3 linked regions of the Saccharomyces cerevisiae S288C genome follow. The protein of the gene in region 2 binds, or shares a complex with, the protein of the main gene of each other region. Each region holds a gene or a part of one and is shown on either strand. Other genes may lie near its edges. The genes, in order: IML3, CHL4 and MCM21. A codon is read from its position in the direction of its gene.

Region 1 (3,031 bases), on a different chromosome or scaffold from region 2:
GCAGTTGCTGCAGTGTTATAAGAAAAATAGAATGAAATAAGATAAAGCTAGACGAATTGTGTCTATTTTCCTACATCGCCATAGAATTGCTTTTTTTTTCTTGATTAGATGAAATGAAAACAAGGAACTCTATTTGTTTTCATTTTGTTGGGCTTATCATGTAAAGAAAAATGAGTCGTGTCCTCTTTTTCCTCGTGCTTGTATGACTGCCGCACTTTCCGCTAAGTGCGCTCGTCTATATGATTTTATGCAAATATATACTGAAAGTTCAACAAAATTAAACTATGTGAACATTAGTTCATAGCAGCCATTGGCCCGTTGTGTCGGGATCTCTACACTAAATTGTAATGTCTCTGGGATTTTGTGGGGTGTCATTGCAGATATGACGAACCGGATATTACTGATAATGACGATGATTCATGAAGGTCTTCAGGTTCATATGTACAAAAAAGGTAGAGCTGTGGTTTTTTATTGTATCTTGGTGAATATTCTTTATAGTGTTACTCGCTGGTAAACTGAATCGATTGGAGTACAACTGCTAGAACTCTGTTCCTGAGACTTCGTGTTGAAGTGACAATGGATTCTCTCATTATTTTCGTGTGCCCTGCCAATATGACGGAAGTCAACGGTAATCTTTCCACCGCCATCCCCGTTTCATTATAAATGTAGGGTACAATTGCATCGTTATACGGGTGCATAGTATTACCATAGCCAAGAGCCAAACCCTCACAGCTTTCTCTCGGTATTTCTATACTGAATTGCCGCAAGTTTTTGTCTTGTGTTTCTGGTTCAAAATATAACTTTGAGCTAAACCAGGTAATTTGTTCGATGTTCTCTTTCGTTACGTGCACAATGCTGGCGTCAGCTAACTTTATCATGGTCTTCTGTTCAAATTTTATCGGCCACATAATGACACCGTACTCTGCCTTCAGCCACTGCAATACCACTTCATTGCGGTTATCTGTCCCGCAATAGCACAAAAACATCGGCACCTCCATTTTTGAGTTCCCCAAGAAAATGAACTTAGAGTAAGTGCCCTCATCTAAATTAGAGATGTCCAACCTCATTTCGTAACGGATATACTCGTCAGCGGCGGTACCACCATCAGGATCACTGGGTACTCGAATGGTTTGAATGTCTAAATCTACTTCCAGGTTTAGCAATTGGTTCAACTTTGCTATACCATTTTCCAGTGAAAGTTGCTTGCTGATTCCTAAAAACTTCCAAGTATAAGGCATTCCATCCAAAGGAAGTACGTTGATACCTATAGACAATCAAATCAACCATGCAGTCGACCAGATCATCCCACTATGGTTGTTGTCTATTTCATATCGGTGTCGGCATTTTTTTTTCCCGTAGTACCACTGGATCTGCCTAAATCGCGCTTCAGGAAAACCAGGGACCACCCTATTTTTTTATATTTCATCATCTAAATTAAGTGTATACATATATGGATAAAGTCATTTTGAGTTTACATAATCGTATGTTCGAGAGAGGTCTTTCATAAAAAAATCAAGTTATCAACCAGCATGGGATTTTGGGAGAACAACAAAGATTCCATCACTTCAGGGCTGAAGAGCGCCGGTAAATATGGTTACCAAGGAACAAAGTACGTTGCCAAGACAGGGTATAAGGCAAGTAAGAAGCACTATAACAACAGCAAAGCGCGTAGGGAAAGGAAGAGTGGTAAGAAAAATTCAAGTGATGAGGAGTATGATAGCGAAGATGAGATGGAGTACGAAAGAAAGCCGACCGATATAAGAAGTTTAAAAGACCCAAAGTCCTTTCCTCCCCCACCTTTGAAACCTGGACAAAAAACTTATACAGGACAACAGCAACAGCAAATGCCAAATGGTCAGGCCAGTTATGCTTTTCAGGGTGCATACCAAGGCCAACCTGGCGCAGGATCGACGGAACAGTCACAATACGCACAACCACAGTATAATCAGTATCCACAACAGCAGCTGCAACAAGGTGTAATGCCACAGCAACAGCAGCTGCAACAAGGTGTAGTGCCACAGCAGCCGCCTATATATGGAGAGCAAGTACCACCGTATGGGTCAAATTCTAATGCAACCAGCTACCAGTCGCTGCCGCAACAAAATCAACCCCAAAATGCAATTCCAAGTCAGGTATCTCTGAACTCTGCTTCTCAGCAAAGCACAGGGTTTGTCTCGCAAAATCTGCAATATGGTACCCAATCAAGTAATCCGGCACCATCACCGTCTTTCCAGAACGGTCTTCAGTGTCATCAGCAGCCGCAATACGTATCACATGGCTCAACCAATCTCGGACAATCCCAATTTCCATCGGGCCAACAGCAGCAGCCCACGACACAGTTTGGCCAGCAAGTTTTACCATCACCTGCACAACCACAACAGCAACAACAAGGGCAACCATTACCGCCCCCGCGCGGTCAAGTGATCTTGCCAGCGCCCGGAGAGCCTCTGTCAAATGGCTTTGGGCAACAGCAACAGCAACAGCAACAGCAACAGCAGCCTCTGAACCAAAACAACGCTTTGTTGCCACAAATGAACGTGGAAGGAGTTTCTGGGATGGCTGCGGTTCAGCCTGTCTATGGCCAAGCCATGTCAAGTACTACAAACATGCAAGATTCGAACCCCAGCTATGGAGCTTCACCCATGCAAGGTCAGCCTCCAGTCGGTGGACAACCGCCTGTGCCTGTAAGAATGCAGCCACAGCCACCGCAACCAATGCAACAGGGAAACATCTATCCGATTGAGCCTTCTCTTGATTCTACTGGCTCAACCCCACATTTTGAAGTTACTCCATTTGACCCAGACGCACCTGCTCCGAAGCCCAAAATCGATATTCCCACTGTAGACGTTAGTAGCCTTCCACCACCTCCCACTCATAGGGATAGAGGAGCAGTTGTACACCAGGAACCTGCGCCAAGTGGGAAAATACAGCCTAACACAACCTCTTCGGCGGCTTCATTGCCAGCAAAGCATTCAAGAACTACTACTGCAGACAATGAAAGGAACTCTGGAAACAAAGAAAACGATGAAAG
Region 2 (3,576 bases):
AGACATAGGGAGAAGGAATTAATGCAAAACGTCGTACCATTATTAACTAAATCGCTAATAGGTCAACCTATTGAAGATATTGATTCTAAAGTAAATAAGGAATTAAAAGAATGCACGTCGTTATTTATAAAAGAATATTGTGCTGCAAAACATATTTTCTTTGACTCTCCCTTGTTTTTGATAGTATTGAGTGGTTTAATTTCTTTCCAATTTTTCATCAAATACAAAACCATCAGGGAGTTAGCGCACGTTGACTGGACTACGAAAGATGAGTTGCCATTTGATGTCAAGTTACCAGATTTTCTGACTCATTTCCATCCGATCTTCATCTGTCCCGTCTTAAAGGAGGAAACCACTACAGAAAATCCTCCTTATTCACTGGCATGCCATCACATCATTTCTAAAAAGGCGCTAGACAGATTATCGAAGAACGGAACAATTACTTTCAAGTGCCCATACTGCCCCGTAAATACTTCAATGAGCAGTACAAAAAAGGTTCGTTTTGTTATGCTTTGACTGAAATTTTTGCATAGGTTTTTTTTTTTTTTTTTTATTGGAAGCGATAACAGAACACAGTAGTTTTCTACAGTAAACCACCTTTAGCAACCTGCTCTCGCTGAAAATCTCCATTCATTATCGTTCCTGAGAACGATCCATTTTCTCCAGCCAACCACCCAGGAACTTTATCAATATTTATTAAATTTTTATCGCATAGTTCGTGTAATCCCCCAAAAATATCATTACCATTAAATTTCAATTTTATGGTAATTATTCTACTGTTTATTTCGTTTTTTAAAGTGAATCCAACTTTTTCAATAGGAACTAAGGAACTGTATCTAGAAATGTACACTGGCTCACCAGAATCTTCATTTTTCTTTCCATTCCTAATATTGTGGACATGTTCGTTAAATTCTTTCAAATCATTATATTTCTGATCCATTACGCCGTTTGCTGAACCTTTGAATTTGATCATGTTTTTCTCTAACCTTAGTCGTCTAATTTCAGGTTCTTCTTTTCCGTAAAAATTCTCATCGTCATTTAAGAAAGAATCATCAAATTCTCTAACCATTACCTTTTTACCAGTAAGGCCTTGGTGCTTTTTGTAGTCGTGTAGTGGTGACCGTTCAAAGTTAGCACTAGCATAACATTCCCATGGGCCCATAGACTCCGCAAATCTCGAAGGTCCTAATAAAGTCATTATATTATGTATTGATTTCACGGGTATTTTCTGTACCGGTTTGAAGATGATTGTTTCTCTTTCTGATATCGTTCGACTAATGCTCTGCAAAACTAGTCTAGCATAAATATCCTTGTCAACTGAATGGAAAATTATTGGAGAATTTAGCGGGAATGCAACGTAATATGGTCTCCTTGATATTAATGGTTTCCCTTGGAATTTGTCTAACTTGTTGTAAAGAGACTCTTTATTTATACTCCCTATATTAGGCGTACTCAAAAATAAATTATTGCTGTCAAATAGCTGTATTCTGGTAATTAACACTGGCAAAGAGGGATGTTTAAACATGTAAACATGACAATGGTAAATTTTCGCTAGATCTGTTTGTAAATTTTCTATAAATTTGGCAGGTTGGAGCTTTACTACGTAAGGTTTCCCATCTCCCCGTAAAGCTTTTGATGGAAGCCACTTAAATTTCTCTGGTTTACTTATCATTAAATGGCAATCTATTTCTGCTAATTGGAAAACATTCAGGCCATCCGGCCAGTATACGTATAATATCCTATTTACTATAACATTTCGCCTCACGCCTTTCTCAATCAGTAAGTCTAATGTTTCTGTCAATAAATATATGTCACCATCAAATGACCCACCGAATTTTGCGAACCATGATAGCGTAAGATCATATAATACCGTTACCGGCAGCTTCATCAATTGTTTGAAAACTACTAGTGTGTCGGAAGTTGGTACATAGTTATCTTCAAGCCGTAATTCGTTAGACATTAATTGCTACTCAAATATACTAGTCAAAGATAGTATCCACCAAAATCTTTCCCCGCTAAAATAACGCCAGATGCTTTCTATGCTTCTAATCTTTTACCATTTACCTTTGTTTATTTCAATATAAACTTTAATTTACAGTCCCTATCTATTGCCCGACTGGACTAACATGCACGTGACATTTTGTGATGGTTTTTCGTCCCTTACTTAGTACGCTTAGTACGCCACAGTTTATATTTTCTTGACAATAATAAAGAACCTGATTGTGGGTTAGAACTTGCTATACTTTTAGTTTAAAATAAGCAGGAAATAATCTTGAGTTCTGTATCATTATTATAAATAAAACTATATTTGTTCTCTTTGTCGCCCTCGGAACTTTCCTCATTACATTGACGAGGTATATATAGATATAGTAGATATACATATCTATCCATGGTATATATGTATGCATCTGGATAATTGAATAGGGTTTCATGTCATATGCCAAGAATTTGTTAATAATATAGTGGAAAAAAGTCAAGAGGTATTATAAATTTCAAAAAAGTACCAAATGGAGGATCAGGATGCTGCATTTATCAAACAGGCTACAGAAGCAATAGTGGATGTATCATTAAATATAGATAACATAGATCCTATAATAAAAGAGTTATTAGAAAGGGTAAGGAATAGGCAAAACAGGTTACAAAATAAAAAACCAGCACTCATACCGGCAGAAAATGGTGTTGATATAAATAGTCAAGGCGGTAACATAAAGGTTAAAAAGGAAAACGCATTACCAAAACCACCGAAGTCCAGCAAAAGCAAACCCCAAGATCGTAGAAATAGTACTGGTGAAAAAAGATTTAAATGTGCGAAATGTTCGTTGGAATTTTCAAGATCATCAGATTTGAGAAGGCACGAAAAGACACACTTCGCCATATTGCCTAACATTTGTCCTCAATGTGGCAAAGGTTTTGCAAGGAAAGATGCATTGAAAAGACATTATGATACACTGACATGTAGGAGAAACAGGACTAAATTACTAACTGCGGGTGGTGAGGGTATCAATGAATTACTGAAAAAAGTCAAGCAATCCAACATCGTTCATCGTCAAGATAACAACCACAATGGTAGCAGTAATGGCTGAAAGAGTAAATAGCGTGTATCTTCTCAAATAAGAAAATATATATTCATCTGCAACATTAATGTGATAGCATTTCCACTTCGACATTCGCCACTAGCTATAACGTTTACTGGCAATTATTATGAACTATGTCAGCTATTCATCACTTGTTGTTTTGTCTCGCTGCATCTGTCGCCCAGCTGGTCGAGCACCGTCTGTTCATTTTCTAGGTTATGAGCCAAACCTGTCAAATACTCAAGTTCTTGGCTACCTAATTGAGAGGCTACGCTCGGATACAGCCCATTAAGTGTATTCTCTTTCGGTTGGCCATGAATCATTGTGAGATTGCATTGAGGGGCAATCTGTACAACTGCACTGTTAAAATGTAAAACCTTGCCATTCTTTTTGAAAAAATTTGCTTCGGCAACGTTTTCAATGGTCATTGGATGCAGTTTATGAAGTTCAGCTTGTAACTTGGTATTATCCTTGTCATTGTTATTATATAAATTACCTTTCT
Region 3 (3,773 bases), 140 kb from region 2:
ACATATACTAACCATTGGCCTCTGCTCAAAAATAGAATAATCAGTATTATGATCACTCAATATGCTTGCAAGTTCGTTCTAAAATATCTATTATTGTTTTTGAATTTCCAATTTATCGATCATGTTTTCATTTGGACAGGGGGAGAATGCAGTTCTGGTAGTAAAACGACATCAGCTGAAAAGTGCCGTCTAGAAAATGGGAAATGGGATGGTGGGTTTGACATTAGTGGACACTTCTGCTTTCTTGTGAGTATAAGCATGATTCTTTGGATGGAACTTCACTTATTCAGTAGATTTGTTCAAGCTGAAGATATGTTTTGGGTTGTGAATAAGTGGGTACGAGCTTGCCTTGCCATTGTTTGCGCTGTCCTAGTAATTTGGATATGTATTCTCTGGGTTACCGCTATTTATTATCATACTATCTTGGAAAAAGTGTTAGGTTGCCTTATGGGTTTCATATGCCCTGTTTTCATATACCACATTCTACCCAAAATTGGGATACTACACAATTACTTATATCTATGATAAACAGAGAAAATTAGCTCTATCCTCTTTCTATAAAGTATATTTTTGTTAACATTCACTTGAATATTGTCGCGAAAGAATGGTTTAATTTTAATTCCAAATCATCCAAAGAACCGAGCAATGCAATTTCCCATTTACTTTTATTATTTTGACTAAAATCATGAATATCGTCCAATATTGAACATGAAACTATTTCATTTTGTTTTACAAACAACTCGACTTTAATATCCTTCACAAAAAACGAAACCATTGAAGATTCTAAATCTAAATCTAAGTCGTGGATTATCTTCTTAGCTTCTAAGTCCTTAAAAATCTGTCGTCTTTTCTGTACTTCCACAAGTTGCAGGAAGACTCTTTTAGCAAATAAATAGGCGTCATCATGAGATATCACTAGTCCCCCATTGGTGTCATCAAATATACCTTGGACATCAATGAAACTCGGGATTGTATGCTTGAACAGGAACCAACTATTCGATTTGATCCTCTTTTTCAACAATACATAGTGAGGTTTTTCAAATTGGGATGTCCGTTCGCTGAAGACTTCCAGTCGTATTCCCAGCATTTCTCTATCAACAAATATTTCACCGCTAGCATCTTTTATCTTAAGGTCAATAGGGTCCACAAGAGGGAAAAATGTTATACCAAACATTCTATAAACATTTTCCAGGACAATATAATCTTCCAACTCACTTCTATCACTTGTACTAATATCGTCTATTTTTAGTTTTCGCTTTCTTTTTGAAGGTGACGTTAGAATGTCTGTATCCAATAAATCTGCCACCCCAGGATCAAACATTTGATGCTGAACCATTGGCTGGGTCTTTAAAACCCATTCTTGTTCTGGTAAAATTTCCTCATTCTCCAGCTTAGCTCTTTTCTTTGGTTCATACGGTATTGGCGTTGCTGGTATATCCGCTTGCGCCCTTGATATGTCCTTGTCATCTGTCTCTTCCAATTCTGGATGCTCATTAAATAAAAAATTATTCAACTGTGGGAATTGATCGAATAGATCTTCAAATTCTTGTACTATAGGATTAGCGCTCTCCTCATTTTTTCTTTTATCTTTTATCTTCGCTTTGAGCTTCTCACGACTTTCTTCTAATGAATTGACTGTGAAGATTCTACTATGTTAGTGTTCAACTTAATCATTTTTTTAAAAGAAAGAAAATTGTTACAGCCTCAAAATCACATACTTTCACTGAGTAAAGATTCAATGTCCTGCTGTAAATCATCGATTCTACTCATTGCCAGGAGCGTTACTGATAGTTTGAAAGAATTGCTCAAGTAAAGAAATCACATTTTCCCCTCATTATCCATATGGCTTTTGTTTGTTTTTTCTTCAGTTTTGAAATATGCGCGTTTTCTTACCATCATTATAAACTTAGGGAAGATCTATCATAGAATTGGTCGGCCATTACTGGCGATTAGTAAAACAATACATAAAGTTTGCATATTCAATGCGATAAAAATTTAAGACGGCCCAGGTATCGAATCCATGATATAGTGGTTCTTTTATGTATTAGGCTACTATTTATTTAATAACTTCGCATCTATCAAAAGAAAAGACTGACTGTTCACACAATCATATCAATTTGATAACTGCTAATTACTTCCAGCTTAGGTCCCGCCTCTTTACTTTTCCTTTCAATCGCCATCAAAGAGGCAACATAAGAAACCTTTGAAACTGGGACAGCGTATCCTAATAATGCAGATCCTGGCATCCTATATATACTGGAAGCAATTATTTCGCTTAACTTTGTTCTTAAGCCAATCCTTCTGGCCTCACTGATATATTTCTTTTTATAAACTAAAAGATAGTGAGGATAATAAAAAATTTTTTCCAAGAAAGTGGAGTTTTCTTTACCCAATTCAACGTTTATAGGATTTCCGTGCTGTCCACACATCGGACCTGGCCTCAAAATAACTAGCTCCTTTAGCTTATTTGGCAAAGCTTCATCCAAGTCATTTTCTAATTTAGCTTTTATTCTAAAATACTCGAAAGTTTTACTAAGAAAATCATTATTAAAGGCAGTTGTAACCACCAACCTTTTGTTAGTTGTATTCGTGAATTCTTGTGCTAAATTAAAAGGTAAGTAATAGTCAGCAAAGGAACTTGGTACCTGAGTTCTCCGCACTCTAGCTGAGGTGGAGCCCAAAGAGCACACCATAGTGCTAATATCACACAGACTAGGCAAACTTCTACCGGGAACGTAATTTTTGTTGTCAATGTCAAACTTTTCCAGCTTTTGTGTTCCTGAGAATATCCGTGGAAGCAATTTTGGCCAAGTTTCAGATCTGGGGATGATCAATTGCGTTACAGTAAAATTACAAATGATCTCAATACCTTTTTCCTTTCCGCATGCATAATGTAGTGTGTAACTGAACTGTTTCTGATTATAAACAAAAGAATAACCATCTTTTCCCCTCTCTTCAGGCGTATTTTTAATAAATCCTTCTTCAAAATTATCATAACAAAAAGTATTAGGACTAGACGGTACTTTTTCAGTGTCTTTTTCTTTCCTGCTTCTCAAGTAATATCTGCCACCTTGCCAAGTAACTGATCTCATATTTATATAATCAATGGTCTTCATAAATGATTTCTCCTCATTGATGCACCTTCTATTAACACAAAAGACATGTTTATTGAGAACGACATTTCCCTTTATTTCACTTAAGCTATCAAGCTTGCCTTGTAGGTCCGAAACATTTTTAATATATAAATTTATGTCCAACAGGTTCTCTAAAATACCTTTTCCTACTAAACTAGATGATCCAAACAATAAAACGTAATCTGTAAACGTGTTGACACTATAACTCATTTCTGATCAACCTTTCTAGTTTGGAATATTCTTCAAAGGGTCTATATGTATAAAAAGCTGTCATTTATATTAAAAAGAATTTATAGCGTTTACTGCGGATCAAAATTAAATACGTCAATTTTTCTTAAAATTTCTTTTAATCTAAATGACACAAAAAATGTCACCCATCATTATATGTATTGAAAACCAAAAAAAAAAAAGGAAAATTATACTTTCAATGAAAGACACAAAAATGAAGAAGTTCAAGGATATAAAAGTTAGTTTTTACCTGTTGAATTATATGCAGAGTTACTGTTAAATTACAACAACTTATCGTTTCTTGATGAGTATTCAAGGTGACGGAATATTATCATATATGATGTAATAAAATGACATAAATGATAAGAATGCGTTATCAAATTTAAAAGCAACTGAAACGCACGGATTGAT

The links.
Region 1: the proteins of CHL4 (region 2) and IML3 are in contact, whole or in part, in a cryo-EM structure (PDB 6QLF), measured with the Saccharomyces cerevisiae proteins. Residues at the interface, in NP_010540.3 of Saccharomyces cerevisiae: Phe306 (codon at 1,045), Leu307 (codon at 1,042), Asn308 (codon at 1,039), Asp309 (codon at 1,036), Ser374 (codon at 841), Tyr376 (codon at 835), Leu389 (codon at 796), Asn391 (codon at 790), Ile393 (codon at 784), Asn394 (codon at 781), Arg396 (codon at 775), Ile397 (codon at 772), Ile398 (codon at 769), Thr399 (codon at 766), Ile400 (codon at 763), Lys401 (codon at 760), Leu402 (codon at 757), Lys403 (codon at 754), Phe404 (codon at 751), Asn405 (codon at 748), Gly406 (codon at 745), Asn407 (codon at 742), Asp408 (codon at 739), Ile409 (codon at 736), Gly411 (codon at 730), Gly412 (codon at 727), Leu413 (codon at 724), Glu415 (codon at 718), Leu416 (codon at 715), Lys419 (codon at 706); in NP_009665.3 of Saccharomyces cerevisiae: Pro151 (codon at 788), Glu152 (codon at 785), Thr153 (codon at 782), Gln154 (codon at 779), Asp155 (codon at 776), Lys156 (codon at 773), Asn157 (codon at 770), Leu158 (codon at 767), Arg159 (codon at 764), Gln160 (codon at 761), Phe161 (codon at 758), Ser162 (codon at 755), Ile163 (codon at 752), Glu164 (codon at 749), Ile165 (codon at 746), Pro166 (codon at 743), Ser169 (codon at 734), Gly172 (codon at 725), Leu173 (codon at 722), Leu175 (codon at 716), Gly176 (codon at 713), Tyr191 (codon at 668), Tyr193 (codon at 662), Asn194 (codon at 659), Glu195 (codon at 656), Thr196 (codon at 653), Gly197 (codon at 650), Met198 (codon at 647), Ala199 (codon at 644), Arg202 (codon at 635).
Region 3: the proteins of CHL4 (region 2) and MCM21 are in contact, whole or in part, in a cryo-EM structure (PDB 6QLE), measured with the Saccharomyces cerevisiae proteins. Residues at the interface, in NP_010540.3 of Saccharomyces cerevisiae: Lys117 (codon at 1,612), Pro118 (codon at 1,609), Val120 (codon at 1,603), Lys122 (codon at 1,597), Gln124 (codon at 1,591), Pro153 (codon at 1,504), Leu206 (codon at 1,345), Asn207 (codon at 1,342), Ser208 (codon at 1,339), Pro209 (codon at 1,336), Pro260 (codon at 1,183), Ser261 (codon at 1,180), Arg262 (codon at 1,177), Glu265 (codon at 1,168), Ser266 (codon at 1,165), Trp270 (codon at 1,153), Tyr273 (codon at 1,144), Ala274 (codon at 1,141), Ser275 (codon at 1,138), Phe278 (codon at 1,129), Glu279 (codon at 1,126), Arg280 (codon at 1,123), Ser281 (codon at 1,120), Pro282 (codon at 1,117), Leu283 (codon at 1,114), His284 (codon at 1,111), Tyr286 (codon at 1,105), Lys287 (codon at 1,102), His289 (codon at 1,096), Gly291 (codon at 1,090); in NP_010604.4 of Saccharomyces cerevisiae: Arg157 (codon at 1,219), Leu160 (codon at 1,210), Glu161 (codon at 1,207), Ile164 (codon at 1,198), Glu167 (codon at 1,189), Asn168 (codon at 1,186), Arg171 (codon at 1,177), Met172 (codon at 1,174), Phe178 (codon at 1,156), Leu180 (codon at 1,150), Asp182 (codon at 1,144), Pro183 (codon at 1,141), Ile184 (codon at 1,138), Leu186 (codon at 1,132), Ile188 (codon at 1,126), Ile195 (codon at 1,105), Arg199 (codon at 1,093), Met201 (codon at 1,087), Arg205 (codon at 1,075), Glu207 (codon at 1,069), Ser214 (codon at 1,048), Phe216 (codon at 1,042), Lys218 (codon at 1,036), Pro219 (codon at 1,033), His220 (codon at 1,030), Tyr221 (codon at 1,027), Leu223 (codon at 1,021), Arg227 (codon at 1,009), Ile228 (codon at 1,006), Phe234 (codon at 988).

What each region holds. Positions count from the first base shown.
Region 1 is NC_001134.8:453,293-456,323, forward strand, and holds IML3 (Iml3p), read right to left. Parts: upstream 1,239-3,031; coding exon 501-1,238; downstream 1-500. Other genes in the region: AIM3 (Aim3p), read left to right, coding at 1,530-3,031. UniProt on the Saccharomyces cerevisiae protein: Component of the kinetochore, a multiprotein complex that assembles on centromeric DNA and attaches chromosomes to spindle microtubules, mediating chromosome segregation and sister chromatid segregation during meiosis and mitosis.
Region 2 is NC_001136.10:963,497-967,072, reverse strand, and holds CHL4 (Chl4p), read right to left. Parts: upstream 1,961-3,576; coding exon 584-1,960; downstream 1-583. Other genes in the region: ubiquitin-protein ligase RMD5, read left to right, coding at 1-516; MET32 (Met32p), read left to right, coding at 2,508-3,083; CCR4-NOT core subunit BTT1, read right to left, coding at 3,212-3,576. UniProt on the Saccharomyces cerevisiae protein: Component of the kinetochore, a multiprotein complex that assembles on centromeric DNA and attaches chromosomes to spindle microtubules, mediating chromosome segregation and sister chromatid segregation during meiosis and mitosis.
Region 3 is NC_001136.10:1,101,755-1,105,527, reverse strand, and holds MCM21 (Mcm21p), read right to left. Parts: upstream 1,771-3,773; coding exon 1,719-1,770; intron 1,636-1,718; coding exon 581-1,635; downstream 1-580. Other genes in the region: YFT2 (Yft2p), read left to right, coding at 1-525; HIM1 (Him1p), read right to left, coding at 2,100-3,344. UniProt on the Saccharomyces cerevisiae protein: Component of the kinetochore, a multiprotein complex that assembles on centromeric DNA and attaches chromosomes to spindle microtubules, mediating chromosome segregation and sister chromatid segregation during meiosis and mitosis.